Linked DNA regions of Ovis aries. The protein of the gene in region 1 purifies or fractionates together with the protein of each later gene. This does not show direct contact. Links are inferred from orthologs where the notes say so. Each region holds a gene or a part of one and is shown on either strand. Other genes may lie near its edges.

Region 1 (4,938 bases):
CTCATACACATGAATAATAACTACTTAGAAGATATAATGAATAAAAGAAGATTTATAATAGAAACAACAATAAAGTTCATAAAAGAATTTTTAAAACATTCAAATCTAATATAAAAATACCATATTCATGAAAGGTACAAAAGTAGACTTAAATTTTAAAATATCCTTTGCTCTTGGGTAGGATATCTCAACTTTATTATTTATTCTCCCCTAAGAAAACTTATAAATTTAATGTGATCTCAATAAAAATGCCAATGAGATTTTTTAAATGAAGCCACTAGATGAACTAATACTAAAGTTCAAAAGAAATATAAGCATGTAAAAACAGCTAAGGAAAATAAAGAGCTGAGAGGAGACTAACAGATACTAAAACATCCTTATACATTTTTAAAATATTTAATACAAGTTTTTAAATATTTAGTTAAAATATTTAATATAAATATTTAAAACAGTGTGTTGTACTGATTTATGAATAAAGAGAACAACAGAATAGAACAGAAAGCCTCCAAACAGACACAAGTATTAATACATATTGAACTTTAGTATATGGTAAAAGTGGTATCTCAAATACTGGGCAAAGACAGCCCTTCAAATAAAATTGGGGGAGCGGGGTGGACAACTGGATAGTCACTGGAAAATTGTAAGATCCATTTCTCATTCTGTATAAATATAATAATAAAACCTAATAGATCATATATTTAATATGAAATTATACATATATTAGAAGAAAACATGGGTGAATTCTTATTACTCAAAAGCCCAATGCGATAAAAGAAAAGATCAAAAAATTTGCATAAAAATTAAAAACTTGTGCATGACCAAAGTATCATGAGAAAATCAAAGGACAAATGACAAATTGGGAGAAAATATCACAACACATTTCACAGCTAAAGAACTAATATCTCTAATATACAAAAACTTTAATAAAGGAAACAAAAGACCGAAAATCCTACAGAAAATTAGAAAAGACACGAGCAGACAATATTCAAAAGATATTAAATGATCTCTAAAAATATGAAAGGATGTTTACCTTCCCTCATAATAAGAGAAATTCAAGTTAAAACTACACTGAGATACCCTTTCTAGTCCATCTGGAAAAACTGGGAAAACTTCAAAATACGATATATGTACTCTACTGGTAAGGGTATGGGGAAGCAGGCTGGTAGAATTTAACATTCTCTATGAAACTACATACTTATCTACTCTTCAACCTAGCATATGGACTTCTAGAAATTTACCCTCAGGACACACCACCAAAATTTCAAGAAAACATAGACATAAGGTTGTCCACTGCAACATTATCTGTAATCACAGAATATTGCAAAGTATCCAAACATTCACACACAGGAGATGCATTCAGCAAACTACACTACAAAATGAACTTCATAACCTCCCAAGGTTTCCCAAAGATTCAAAATGTCTACTTGAATACACAGGCTAAGTTGGTTTTTTAAAAGTAGGTAAATACAAGAAGAGAGTAAATAGGGTCAGTTACACCTCTTGAGTGAGAATTAAATAAAAATGAAGGAATAAAATCTTTTAACTTTAATTCATCTAACTAAAATCTATCGCTATTTTGATTTCCTTTTTGACACATTCTCACCAGTTCTACTCAACACATATTGGAAGTCCTAGTCATTTTAATAAGGCAAGGAAAAAAAGGAAAGGTACCTGAATTGGAAATGAAGTGGAAATGAAGTATCTATTCACAATAACACGATTATTTACATAAAACAATCCTAAGGGATGTATATTACAACTACTAGAACCTATAAGGGAACTTAAAAAAAAATAAGGGAACTTAGCAAGAATATTGAGTTATGGGAATGTTTTTAAAAAAGGTATTTTTTAATATAGTACTAGTAGCAAACAATGAAATAGAAATGTTAATAAAATGGATTTCTAAAAGCATAAAATATTTAGATATTAATTTAACAAAAGATGTGCAAGACCTCTAGAGTAAATGCTACCAAATACTGCTCAGATAAATTAAAGAAGACCTAAATAAAGGGAGTGATATGCCATATTCATGAACTGAAGAATTATTATTATTAAGCTGTTACCTTTCCCCAAATTGATTATAGATTTAACACAACTCCAATCATAATCCTAGAAGGAAATTATAACCTGATTCTAAATTTTATATGGAAAGCAAAGGAACTAAAATATTACAAAACATGAAAAAGTTGGGAGACCACACATTTAAGAGGTACCATAAAGCTACATTAATTCATACAGTATGATACTGGCATAGGACCAATAAATAGTTCCACAGAATGTGATAAGCATCCCAGAAACATACCTACAGTTATATGGTTATCTGCTTTTCAGACAAAGATGTCAAGCACTCCAGTGGGGAAAGAGAATTGTTTTAAATTATGCTGGAGTAACTGGAAATCACAATGGAAAAAAACCTGAACGTACACACAAATATTAATTCAAGTTGGATCACAGCCCAAAATGTAAAAGCTAACACTGTAAAACATTCACAATAAAACATGGCAAAGTATCCTGAAGACTTAGACAAACGTTTTTGAGGACACAGAAAGCAATAACTGTGAAAGAAAAAAATTAATAAATTAGACTTCATAAAACTTAAAACTTGTTCATCAAAAGACACTATTAAGAACAGAAATGTTACGGTAAGCCAGAGACTGGGAGAAAACAGGGTCATATTTAAACTACCTTGAACTCATCTGAGATTTCAGACACAAAGGATGATATCTGCTTCATGAGCCTGTCCACACTGCTCTCACTTCCTGTTTTGAGAAGCGTAGTAATGGCCAGGGTAGCAATGCTTCTGTTTGAGTCTGTGATTAAGTTTTCTAGGTCCAGATTGCAGGCAGTAACAGCAGAGGGGTGCTTCATTGCCACCTTGTCAAAGGGCAAGAAAAAAAATTTAACAAATTGCTACTCATAAAGACCAGAATTTTAAAAAATAAAAGAGGAAAATATGAATTTTAATTAAAGTAAATGGCTTTTGAAAATCTAAATGAAACAGCATAAGTTAAAAAATAATTATTTCAAGATGAATGCTTTGGATTAATAAAGTATGCTACATTATTTGATAAATGACTAACTGCTAGTTATAGTACTGCATAGCACTTCATCTTCATAGGTTTCTATAACCTTTATAACAATATCATAGTCTGTCTTTTACTATAGTTGGACTGTTTCTCCTCATAGTACATGTGTTCATGGTTATCTATTCTACTAGATGTTAGGATCTGTGAGAGTAGGAGCTAGAATGATAAACATTGCTGAAAGATATTTAAACTTAGTATCACTTACAATACTTCTGGTATTTAAGCAAGCAAACTCCAGCCAAATTGGATTGGCCATGGTCACTAAAACATGTCTGTCATTGACCTGATTCTTTGCTTTTATTGATGATGTTCACCTCTCTGCTTAACCCACTACTGGTATAGAATCCTTTACCATACAATGCTAAAATTCTGAAAACTCAGCAAAGGAGTGGCATCAAAATTCACTTCACAGCAAAACATGACCCAAACTAATGTAAAACTAAGTATTAATTTATTCCAGTTAGTGAGGATAGTCATATATATAAAGCAGAAATATTAACGTGTTTGTGTCTAATTGCTCCAGGCACAAAGGGGTTAGTATTAATTTAAGAGATGGCATGATATTACCTCTCTAAAATTCAAACATTGCTGAGTTCTCAGATACATTTGGCTGCAAGATTATAGATGAAGAAATGTACACCTATATCAAACTCTTCAAAATACAATTCATATTGTTCGGTAAGGCTGCTCTAAATTTCTCTCTTTTCCAATTGTTCATACAATTAATTTATAATCTAGTGTTGTATGTAACTATATTAGATCAGTCTTCTATAATATTAAACTTTCATTTACAATTTTCATAGTTATTTAATTCATCCTGTGCTTTGCACTGTATCCTCCAGATTTACGCTGTCCAATACGGTAGCCAATAACCACACATGACTACTAAGCATTTGAAATATGACTATTCCAAATTGAGGTGTGCTCTAAATACAAAATAAACTATATATCAAAGACTTAGTATGAAAAGCTAGAAGGTAAAAATGTATCAATATGCAACCAGTATAAAATTATCAGATATATTTTATAAACGTGATGGTAAATAAGATGTATTATTAAAATAAATCTCATCATAAAAAAACTTAATGTGGCTACAATAAAATGTAAAATTACACAAGTGACTCATATAAGTGTTTCTACTGGATGGCGTTGCTATAGACCAGCCTTGTCCAAGAGAACTTCCTGCAGTGATGGAAATATTTTATATATGCAGTGTCTAATATCATAATCAATAACAACACATGGTTATTGACCACATGAAGTGTGACTGCAATGACTGAGGAACTGAATTTTTAAATTTTTATTTAATTATAATTAACTTAAATGGAAACAGCCACTTATGGCTAATGTCCATCATATTGGATGGTATGGCTCTTGAATGTAAAATGTTTAAAGTCAGAAATGAATTACAATCCTTAGTTGAATACTACTACCTATAGCCATATGTAAGGCCACAAATGCAAGTGAGGTGCTACAGAAGTGAAGCCCATAAATCATATCTACTAACCTTGGACGGAAAGCCAAATGCTTCAATTTAATGTTTCTCAATCAAACACTGATACAAAACAATAGTTATAATAGTTAGAAAGGGAACCCCTACCTTGTTCAAGGTCCTTACAGCTGCGTATCTCAAAGCTGGCTTAGGAGAACTACAGAAAAGCTGAAGAACTAGGAAAGAAAAAGAGTCACTGTTAATATGGCTCATTTCAACATTTAGCATATTTCTGAAAATATAGCACATGAAAAATCATATTAAAAATGCACACAAGGAAATTAGATCATAGCATCAAAAATTCACATAAAAATATACCATCAAAACTAGAAAAAGTACTTTTTGTTGAGTTATACAAAC
Region 2 (4,938 bases), on another chromosome or scaffold:
GAATGTTTCTACAATTACAATAATTAAAATCGGCTGGAGAGAAAAAAAAGAAAGGTGAGTCTAAATATGACTGTCCAGCTGAGTGAAGGAAACAAAGATGAAGAGCACGGAAGCCATGGAGCTGCAGCAGAGAGCCAGTGTGCACTGAGCGAAAGCTGTCACGGAGCCAAGAGCCTCAGAGAAGGAAAAACACCCCTGGCGATTTCTTCTATGCTATGTACCTTAATTTAAAAAAACAAAGCTTTTATTTATCTCAAGTAGGGATCTGCAAACTATGACCTGTGAGCTGAAGAATAAATTTTACATTTTTAAATGGTTCAAAAAAAAAAATCAAAAGAATATTTAAATACACATAAAATTATATAAAATTCAAACGTCAGTGTTAATAAATAGTTATACTCATTCATTTACGTCTTTGTAAATGGAATACAGCTGGAATACACCTATACTCATTCATTTATGCCTTCATCTACAGCTGCTTTTGCAGCACAAGATCCTAGCTGAATAACTGCGATAGGTCATATGGTTACCATCCAGCCCTTAGAAAGTTTCCAATATCTAATCTAAAGATTTAAGTTACTGTGTTCCTCTAGAGCTAAAACCACAACACCGGGAAAAAGAACAAATTACACTAAATATTTTGAAGAACAAATCTTGTGTTTAATGTTACATATTAACATATATTTTGTATATATTAAAAACATACACTTTAAATTCTCCAAAATATGTAGTAGTGTCTCCTTTTACAAAAAAGGTGTATTCAACTGTGGAAGCACATAATTTTTTTTTTTTTAAATAATCCATACCTAAGGAGAAACTACCTATAAATATTCATTCCATTGGGTGGCAGGTACTAGAATCACAACACAATGCTTAAGAAAAAGCAAACAGCATTTACAGGAACAGCTTTGCATTTCAAAACCTACTGAATTATGGCAACCACTGCAGAGAGATCAGAATTTTGTTGTTTTACCTTCACATTTCTTACTAATAGTGACCCACTCCAAGGAAACATAGAAACCACTTCCTTTCATAGCCAATTCCTCTTTCTCTATTCGAAGGAGGAGAGTAGCTATTGCATGTTCTTCAGCTTTCAGCAATGAGATACTGTGAATTATGATAAAAGGACTCCCAAGCTCTTCATTAAATACAATCTACAAAAAAGAAAAAAAGATGGCATTCACAAAAACGTATTACATGAATGCATAGAGCACAGAGGAAATACACAGAATTCTGACAATCCAACAAGTAATTTGGATACTGTTTACTGCAAGGACACAAGAACAGAAAAGCCCTGAAATAAAGCTTATAAGTTTAAAATACAGCTTAAAGAAATAACTTTTAGAAAACATCTATTTGTTTAACAGAGAAAACTGATCAGTAAGCACAGAAAACAAAAGGGCCTCCAAATGGCATCTACAAGAGAAAGGGAATTAAAAGCAATCCTCTAGAAAAGAATTGCCAAGTGAAAAAGAGTGCTCCGTACAGAGGAAATGAGGTCAATATTCCCTTACTGCATCTCTTCCCCTGTCTCATATCTAATTTATTGAGATATATTAATATATTGTATAATATTATATCCATCCATTTATAATAGTCATTTATATTATATGTTAATATATTAATCATATCTCTAATTTATTTCTGCCTTCTTCTTAGTTTCTGAATACTGTTTGTATATATGTGCGTATATCTTTCTTTCCTATTGTTTTTGTTTGCTTTGTGTTGTTTGTTTTCTGGAAACTTACAAAGGTACAGTGTCAGACTTTATTTTTTTGGGCTCCAAAATCACTGCAGATGGTGACTGCAGCCATGAAATTAAAAGACGCTTACTCCTTGGAAGAAAAGTTATGACCAACCTAGATAGCATATTCAAGAGCAGAGATATTACTTTGCCAACAAAGGTCCGTCTAGTCAAGGCTATGGTTTTTCCAGTGGTCATGTATGGATGTGAGAGTTGGACTATGAAGAAGGCTGAGCGCCAAAGAATTAATGCTTTTGAACTGTGGTGTTGGAGAAGACTGTTGAGAGTCCCATGGACTGCAAGGAGATCCAACCAGTCCATTCTGAAGGAGATCAGCCCTGGCTGTTCTTTGGAGGGAATGATGCTAAAGCTGAAACTCCAGTACTTTGGCCACCTCATGCGAAGAGTTGACTCATTGGAAATGACTCTGATGCTGGGAGGGATTGGGGGCAAGAGGAGAAGGGGACGACAGAGGATGAGATGGCTGGATGGCATCACCGAATCGATTGATGTGAGTCTGAGTCAACTCTGGGAGTTGGTGATAGACAGGGAGGCCTGGCGTGCTGCGATTCATGGGGTCGCAAAGGGTCGGACATGACTGAGCAACTAAACTGAACTGAAGAGTCAAAGGAACTGGAGAACAAATCATGAAAACTTTCTTACTGTTCTAAAACAAAAGATCTCATGTCATCTAAAAAGATAATTCCACTAACTGTTAAATATTGAAATTTCTTCTAAGGAAAAAAAAAAAAGCAAATCAAAGCATCATGGAAAGATGTACAAAATCTTATCAAATTCTTCTTAAAACACATAATCTAAAAGACTACTGTATCTTTGTTAAATATCGATCAGGAAAGGTTTTAAGACTGATTTCGAAACAAGTTTTTCAAATAAGTGAAAAAATAAATAGATAAATAGTTTGAATACAAATCTAACTGAAACACAAGAATTAGCTCTTTTTTTCTTTTTAAACCTGTATCTGGAATCACCTGGGCTGCTACCTGAAAGCCTTATTAAAAAAAAGGTTGCATTACCCTAATGCTCACAGCAGGAGTACTTAAAATAGCCAAGACATGGAAGTAATCTAAATGTCTATCAACAGATGAATGGATAAGGATGTGGTATACATACAATGGAATACTATTCAGCCATAAAAAGAATAAATAATGCCATCTGCAGCAACACGGATGGACCCAAAGGTTATCCAACTTAAGTGAAATAAGTCAGACAGAGAAAGACGAATATCACACAATATCACTTATCTAAAACATGATACAAATTAACTGATTTACAAAACAGGAAAACACTCAGAAAACAAACTTATAGTTACCAAAGGGGAAGAGGGATAAATTAGGAATTTGGGATTATCATATACAAACTACCATATATAAAATAGGTAAACAAAAAGTTCCCACTGTATAACATAGGGACCTATATTCAATACTTTGAAATAAACTACAATGGAAAAGAATATACATACATACATACATACATATATATATGTATATATATATACACATATATCACTCAATCACTTTGCTCAATCACTTTGCTGTACACCAAATCTAACAAAACACTGCAAATTGTAACTAGAGTTCAATAAAAAGAAAAATGTGCTTAAATGTCATTAGTTTCCCTTTGTGTTTGAGCAACTCTACCAAAATTATTCAAACAGTAGACCTTTGGAATCCATTCTAAATTCTTCCATAGGTAAGGGGAGAGCCCTCCCTCAAATACCCAAAATAGAGAAGATAGACACATTTTTGGTTAAGTGGGTTTTGCTTCTGTTTGGGGGACAAGAATAAATAAAAGGGTAGGAAGAAAAAATGGTAAGTTTTGCCAAGTCCAAGTAGCCAGATTCCTGTTTCCTCCCCCTCTTTCTCGCTCATGTAAGGCCAGAGGAGACCATGTCAGGACTTTTAGAAACTCTTAGGTTGACGTTTCCAGTCCCCTGAACAAGCCTAGCAAATCAATTGTGAAGCTGTTGATACACAGCACTCCCATCATGTTAGAGGCCACACATGCCCTGCCTTCTTTCACTTCTCCTTCTACATTTCAGACATCACCACCACGCTTGCTGGGCCCCCTTATGCCCTACCATGCCCCCATCACTTCCACCTTTAGCCTTCTCTCTTACACCAATTCCCCCAAAGTCCTAAAACTCATATATTTCTCTCAAAGTGACCACTATCCCACAGTATCCCTTCCACTTCAGTTAACCCCCTGGTCCCATAATTTCCCCACTGTCCCCACCTCCCCAGAGAGGACTGACTTCATTATGGCAGTATATATACTGAAGAACATATGAAGTAAATTCAATTTTTAATTTATTTTAAAAATCTTATTGAAGGACTTATATGGACTAAGGAGATATACATAGCAGAAACCAAATGAATTATAAACCCATATGAATTTTCTTCTGATGGACTACGTGGTATTATTCTTAATCCGAAGGTGAAGAGGGTCAGTGTGTTTCTTACACCAACAGAATCCCCATAGCTTGATAACAGATACATTCTCATTCATATCGCTCCTGTCCATCATTCTCCAAATTCTTTTCAACTGTTTCAGATAGCTGGGTGCTATATACCATATATCCTCAGTCAAAAAAGAAAAGAAAAAATTATTGGAGGCAGAAACAGAATATGTCACAATGTCCAATGAATATTTAAAACTGTGACTGACTGCAAAGGCCTCCTATAAACAGGCTGTTGTTCTGGTATTTCATCGTGTTTTGTGTTTAACTTTTTGAACACACTGCAATTAGGTAGTGCAGGATCTGGTATAACAATAAGAAAGGTAAACCACTAAGGTCTTGTTGTTTCTCTCAAATAATTAAAGCCCAGTGTTTACAGGCACCTGTTGGTCTGATAAAAATGTTTTATAAGATGTAAAATATTAAATTCTATCTCTTTAGCTACCTAGAACTAAAGGCCACCTGCTGAAATTTAGAAGGCAGCAATATCACGTTGTACTTTATTAGCACAACTCAGTGTCACTCTGTCTACTTTCAAAACCTGTGGCTCTGGAGAAACTAATTTCATGTTTATTATTACTAAAATGCAAACCTGCCCCTCAGATTCAAGTCTGTTATATTGTTTAAAAAAAACTGAAATAAAAATGGCATCGTGGACACTGGTATATAACTACAGTTATAAATCAAATCCCTTACGATTATACCATGGAAGTGACAA
Region 3 (4,938 bases), on another chromosome or scaffold:
AATAGCTGAAGGTGGTTGTGCAGACAGCACGGACTTTGGAGTCAGACAGATCTGGACTTAAATCCTCGCTGAACCATTTCTAGATGTGTGACCCTGGGAAAGTTATCAGGTTGAACCACATGAAACAGATGTCATACAGTTCCTCAAGGTTTAGTTTAATCATCTATCAAACGAGGGCACTAGTGCCCAAAACTCATAGAAGTGCTACAAGGTTTAAATAATAATGCATTCTACAAAGCACTTACAGCAGTAAAAATTCAGTAAGAACTGGTTTTCTCAAACTGTGACTTTTGCCTCAAATTATGTGGAGGCTTATTTTTACTTATCTACTCTCCTTAAAGTTGTGACCTGAGGTAAATAGTTTTTCCTACATACGGCAAGCAGGTTAGGGCTATACCCAGTCTTCAAAGAGCTACTCAGACTATATGGCTTCAATATGACCCGGAGTATTGCTTAATTGGCCCAAACTCAGTCAGGTGTGCCTCATTCACAGGTAAACCCTGATCACAACTCAGAAATCCATCTTCAAAACACTATGCAGGGAAGGCCATTGATACTGTATGTTAGTATGTTATCAAAACACAGACAGTGTGTCCTACGCAGACACAGAGAGAAAGCTGGGAAAGCTTCCATTCCAGGTTGATTTAGTTGCTCGGCCATGTCTGTGAGGCTGACATGGATCTCGGACAACTTCATCAGCCAGTCAGAAGCCAAAGGCACACGGCAGTCCTTGGGCCCAGAACCAGTCACAAGGGCCTGCCAGTGGTTCAGGAAGTGAGAGCAGAGATGGCAGAGTGTGGGGATTCTCACCTCATTTTCATAGGAGCTGCCGATCACATAGAAATAGAGATCAATACTGCTTTTGTATACCACTGTCAGGCCTTCCAAGAGGGCAATTTCACCTGTGGGGATGGGTGGGGGAAACAAAGGTGGAAACAGTGGGTGGTCTGAGACTTAAAGAGTTAGGGTAGAGGGACTTACCATGAATTAGTATTCAGCTACGTGGGGCTGACAGAAGGTGGGTCTTAATGGCCCCCCTCAAGACCAAAGTTGACCTGCTTTTTCTTTTCAGATGATAACAGAAGGCAAGTATGAATGGGGGAGTCTAAGCACCTTCTTCTTTAACTGCTCCCCGCCCCTACTACCCTTATTTCCCTCCTTGCATATGAGACAGGATACTAGTCAATCCTTCGGAGGTGAAAATGCAGAGCGGTCACCTTTACAGACTTCCATTTACCTGCCCTAATGGATGCGGTACAATAAGCAGAGCTGCAGTTAAATTTGTCAAGTGAGGCTCATAAATCCAGGGACTAGACAGGTAGCTAACAGCCAACCTTCTAGCACGGTATTCCCGCGTGAGGTACACTCACCTCCCCATTACATTTCTGAAGAGTTTATTATATGAGGGGAGGAGGGAAAAAAGAGAAAAAGGAGGCAGAGTCATTTTATCCTTTCTCCACAGTCCCACTGCTGCCCCCTTCCCGCTGTGGCTTCCCCCTGGCCACCCACCACGGGGAGTAGTGAAAAGGAAAACGACCTACTGTCAGTCCGATGGGTCTTGTTGAAAATGTTCTTCTCAAAGGCCTTTTGCTCCTTGACACTGGGGTAGGTGTCGTCATAGTACTGGTCAGAGGGAAGGAGACGGGTTGGGCTGTTAGAGCTGGAAGCGCAGGATGATTAGTGACTGTTTTGCCCTGGGTCTTGGATTTCTCCCCTTCAAGGGATGGGGTGAAGAGAAATACTGACAGGAAGAAGGGAGAACCATAGAGGTAGGGAATGAGCAGTGAGTAATCGGATAGAAAACAAACTTTTTAAGGACCCTGCTCTAAGCCACCCTACCTCATGGTTCCCAGGTTGGAAGGGCAAAAGGCCTAGAAGCCCTGTGAGGAGGCTCTGCCCCATCTGTACGCCAGAGCAGCAGCCCTGAGGCCATCCCCAGGCACCAGGTCAGGGAGCACTGCTAGAGAACACAGAAGGCACCAGCCCTCACTCACTGAGCAAAGCTGAGGAATTGGGAAGGGCTGCAAAACCCTCCTCCGTAGAAGGACAAGCTCTGCCTGGGCTCTCGGCTCTCTGGTATTTTAGCTTCCTTTCCAGCAAACTCAAACAAGCGGGAGGCAAGCTAGCACACCATGGAGCCCACTCCCAAGCTCTCCCTGGCACGGGGGCGGAGATGCAGGCTGCTAAATCGCTCTGCTCTTTAGGGGCTAATCCGTCGCAGTCAGCTGAAGACCTATGACAGGTCTGGCATTTAGTAACTGGATAACTGTTTCAAAAGGTGTCCTGCATAGTTACATCCAATTACAGGGAGGAACAGCTGGTGAATTCTAAACTAATCTCTACCTGCTGATTGATTTATGTGATGCTTGCCCGGAGTTAATACACCAGGGACAGAAAAAATTTCTCTAGGAGGGGGAGAATATGGAGAGAGAGGAGAGGGGTGTCCTTCCTCTTCTCTTTCAATGGATCCAAAGTTAGAAACATCGGACCGGGAAAGTCAGGAAGTAGCAAGCTTGGTGGTGACTGCGGATGTAGGGCTGGAACCATGGAACTGCACGAGAATTCCCTGGAAAAACTCAGGCAGGATGATGGGGTAGAAGGGAAAGGGACAGGGGTGATGGGCCTAGGCAGGCTGCTTCTTACATCCATACACTTCTTTGTTCAGAAACCAAGCTCCAAAGCTTTTCTCTCTTCTGATGTTGATGACAAAGTCTAAGGATGGGTGGATAGGGAAGCAGAGCAACTAACAGATAGGAGCAGTTTAGGTTTTATCTGGAGTAGTCAGATAGAAGATTTCTCAAAATTATTTGTGGATGAATAGGAGTGAATGGGGCCAGTCCCAAGATCCAAAACTCTGTCTTGCTTCTCAACTAATCTGAAAGGGAATCTCACCTTGGCAAAAAGTCGATCTCCATCATTGTCCAGAATCAGGATGGCTTTGACGGTATACAGGGAGGGTTCCTGAAGAGATATGAACACATCTTCAGTCCTGAAGGCTCTTGCCACCACTCACAAACCAGATACCTTCTCCTAATCCTACTGGTGCTGCAATGGGTTAGAGATGTCTCTGTATGTCCCCTATCCCAGCCTGGTTAGATTTTGACATTTGCCACTGAGAATGACTGAGCGACAAATGAACTGAATTGAGGGAGGGGACTTTTCAACAAAGGACCCAGAGCAGTGCCAGAGAAACAATTTCTATGAGCCAGACTCACAGAGGGCTTAGTCAAAGTAGGTCATGCTGTTATTTCCAAATATTATGCTATAGTTATTTTCCAAATTACTCTCCCTCCTCCCTGGTCTCCCATGCACAGGTGGGTATGGAATGTGACCAGATTAATTAATAAGCACTGCACGGGGCTATAGGAAAACAGGGTTGAATGCCCTAGTGTACTTGGAAGTTGCTGCAGTGGCAATGCAGAGGCATAAAGCAAGCCTTCCCTAAACCACCCACTCACTGAGCAGAGGGGAAGGAGCAGGCATGCGCACATGTACACACTCACACACAGACACACCAGTTCTGAATGCAGCCCAGGGAGACATCCATCTTCTAAGACTTCTCCTAGGATCCCAACTCCCCTACTCTACCCTGACCGCCACCACTTAACTTGCCAAGACAAAAAACAATCTGAATTTGGGGTCGTTAAGAAGCAGTAAGAAGAGGCTCCATCTAAGAAACACTGTGAAACCTGCAGATAAGGAGCAGGAGAGGAGTGGTCCTTCACCACCAAGAATCAACCTTTGAGGAAACTGGCTCTCATAAAGAAATCAGGGACGTCTCTGGTGACCCAGTGGTTAAGACTCCATGCTTCCACTGTGGAGGGCATGGGTTTGTCTCGGGTTGGGAAACTAAGATTCTGCATGCCACACGGCACGGCCACAAAAAAAAAAAAAGAAAGAGAGAAAGAAAGAAATCAAGAATCTCAGCCTTAATGGTTACACTCAAACTCAAAGCATATCACTTTGTAAAAGCTCCTCCACTTCTGCAACTTCCAGGGAACCAACTAACACGAAAGGAAGAAGGGAAGGGAGGCAGCGGTACATGTATGAAAGCGTTTGCCGGCACACAGTCCTGACTATCAACATTACTTACCATGCATATCCTTCTCCTGTGCTATAAGACAAGGCTGATGGTTTGCTACCTCCATTTCCTGATCCTACTTAGGAAACCCACAGCTCTCACAGGGCCAAACACATTCTCTATTCTCCAAGCATACATTTAACAAAGACCCAAAGGTGAGGAGGAAAGAATCGCTGCCAAGGATCTGTAGCTTCTACCAAGGTAAACTATCCTATGAGGCTCCAAGAGGTTTATGGTTCCAAGCAAAGAACCAACCTGAGTTCAAGGAGTTCAGAAGGAGAGGAAAGGGAACCCAGTATTTTGAGAACAGAGTGATGAAGAATGTAAGCTTTCCCCACTTGGATTCTTGAGGAAGAAAATTTTATTTCATTCATTGATTTATTACAAGTGTCCAGAATAATACACATACTAAATTCTCAAAATTTATTGAATGATTCTGAGAATAAATGAACTTTGAGAGTAAGATAAAAACTTATTGATGCAATAAGCATCTAGGGGATTTCTCTTATAATCAGGCTTCCGCATACAGGTAGATTTTCTGGTGTGGCCCTTTTGGGTGACATTACTACCAACTCATCCTCCTCTGATGAACACATCAGGGGAATGAGTTTCCTTAACGAAGGAAAAGAAGTCCATCAGGAAGGGAATTCAGAAGAAATTTTTCCCACAGCCTCTTCCCTGGAAATCTTTGGCTCTGTTCAGGCTATCTGCAACCTTAGAGAGCTTCCCAATGGCTTAAACGGGCATTGATCTGGCACAGGTAACTCATGCTTGCAGCCGCAGAGTCTGGCATCTCTAGAAAGAACCGGATCCCAAAGCAGAGGAAGACGGTTACGGCCATCAGCCAAGTCGGAGAG

The links.
Region 2: the proteins of COPG2 (region 1) and NUDCD1 purify together in Homo sapiens (co-immunoprecipitation; 3 studies listed by BioGRID and IntAct, with this or other methods). This does not show direct contact. The link is inferred for Ovis aries from reciprocal best matches to the Homo sapiens genes COPG2 and NUDCD1.
Region 3: the proteins of COPG2 (region 1) and COPZ1 fractionate together in Homo sapiens (co-fractionation; 5 studies listed by BioGRID and IntAct, with this or other methods). This does not show direct contact. The link is inferred for Ovis aries from reciprocal best matches to the Homo sapiens genes COPG2 and COPZ1.

What each region holds. Positions count from the first base shown.
Region 1 is NC_056057.1:96,015,200-96,020,137, forward strand, and holds part of COPG2 (coatomer subunit gamma-2), read right to left. Parts: intron 4,755-4,938; coding exon 4,687-4,754; intron 2,875-4,686; coding exon 2,686-2,874; intron 1-2,685. UniProt on the Homo sapiens protein: The coatomer is a cytosolic protein complex that binds to dilysine motifs and reversibly associates with Golgi non-clathrin-coated vesicles, which further mediate biosynthetic protein transport from the ER, via the Golgi up to the trans Golgi network.
Region 2 is NC_056062.1:68,042,865-68,047,802, reverse strand, and holds part of NUDCD1 (nudC domain-containing protein 1), read right to left. Parts: intron 1,155-4,938; coding exon 974-1,154; intron 1-973.
Region 3 is NC_056056.1:132,212,851-132,217,788, forward strand, and holds part of COPZ1 (coatomer subunit zeta-1), read right to left. Parts: intron 2,963-4,938; exon of another isoform or gene 2,962-2,962; coding exon 2,893-2,961; intron 1,661-2,892; coding exon of another isoform or gene 1,624-1,660; coding exon 1,542-1,623; intron 903-1,541; coding exon 811-902; intron 1-810. UniProt on the Homo sapiens protein: The coatomer is a cytosolic protein complex that binds to dilysine motifs and reversibly associates with Golgi non-clathrin-coated vesicles, which further mediate biosynthetic protein transport from the ER, via the Golgi up to the trans Golgi network.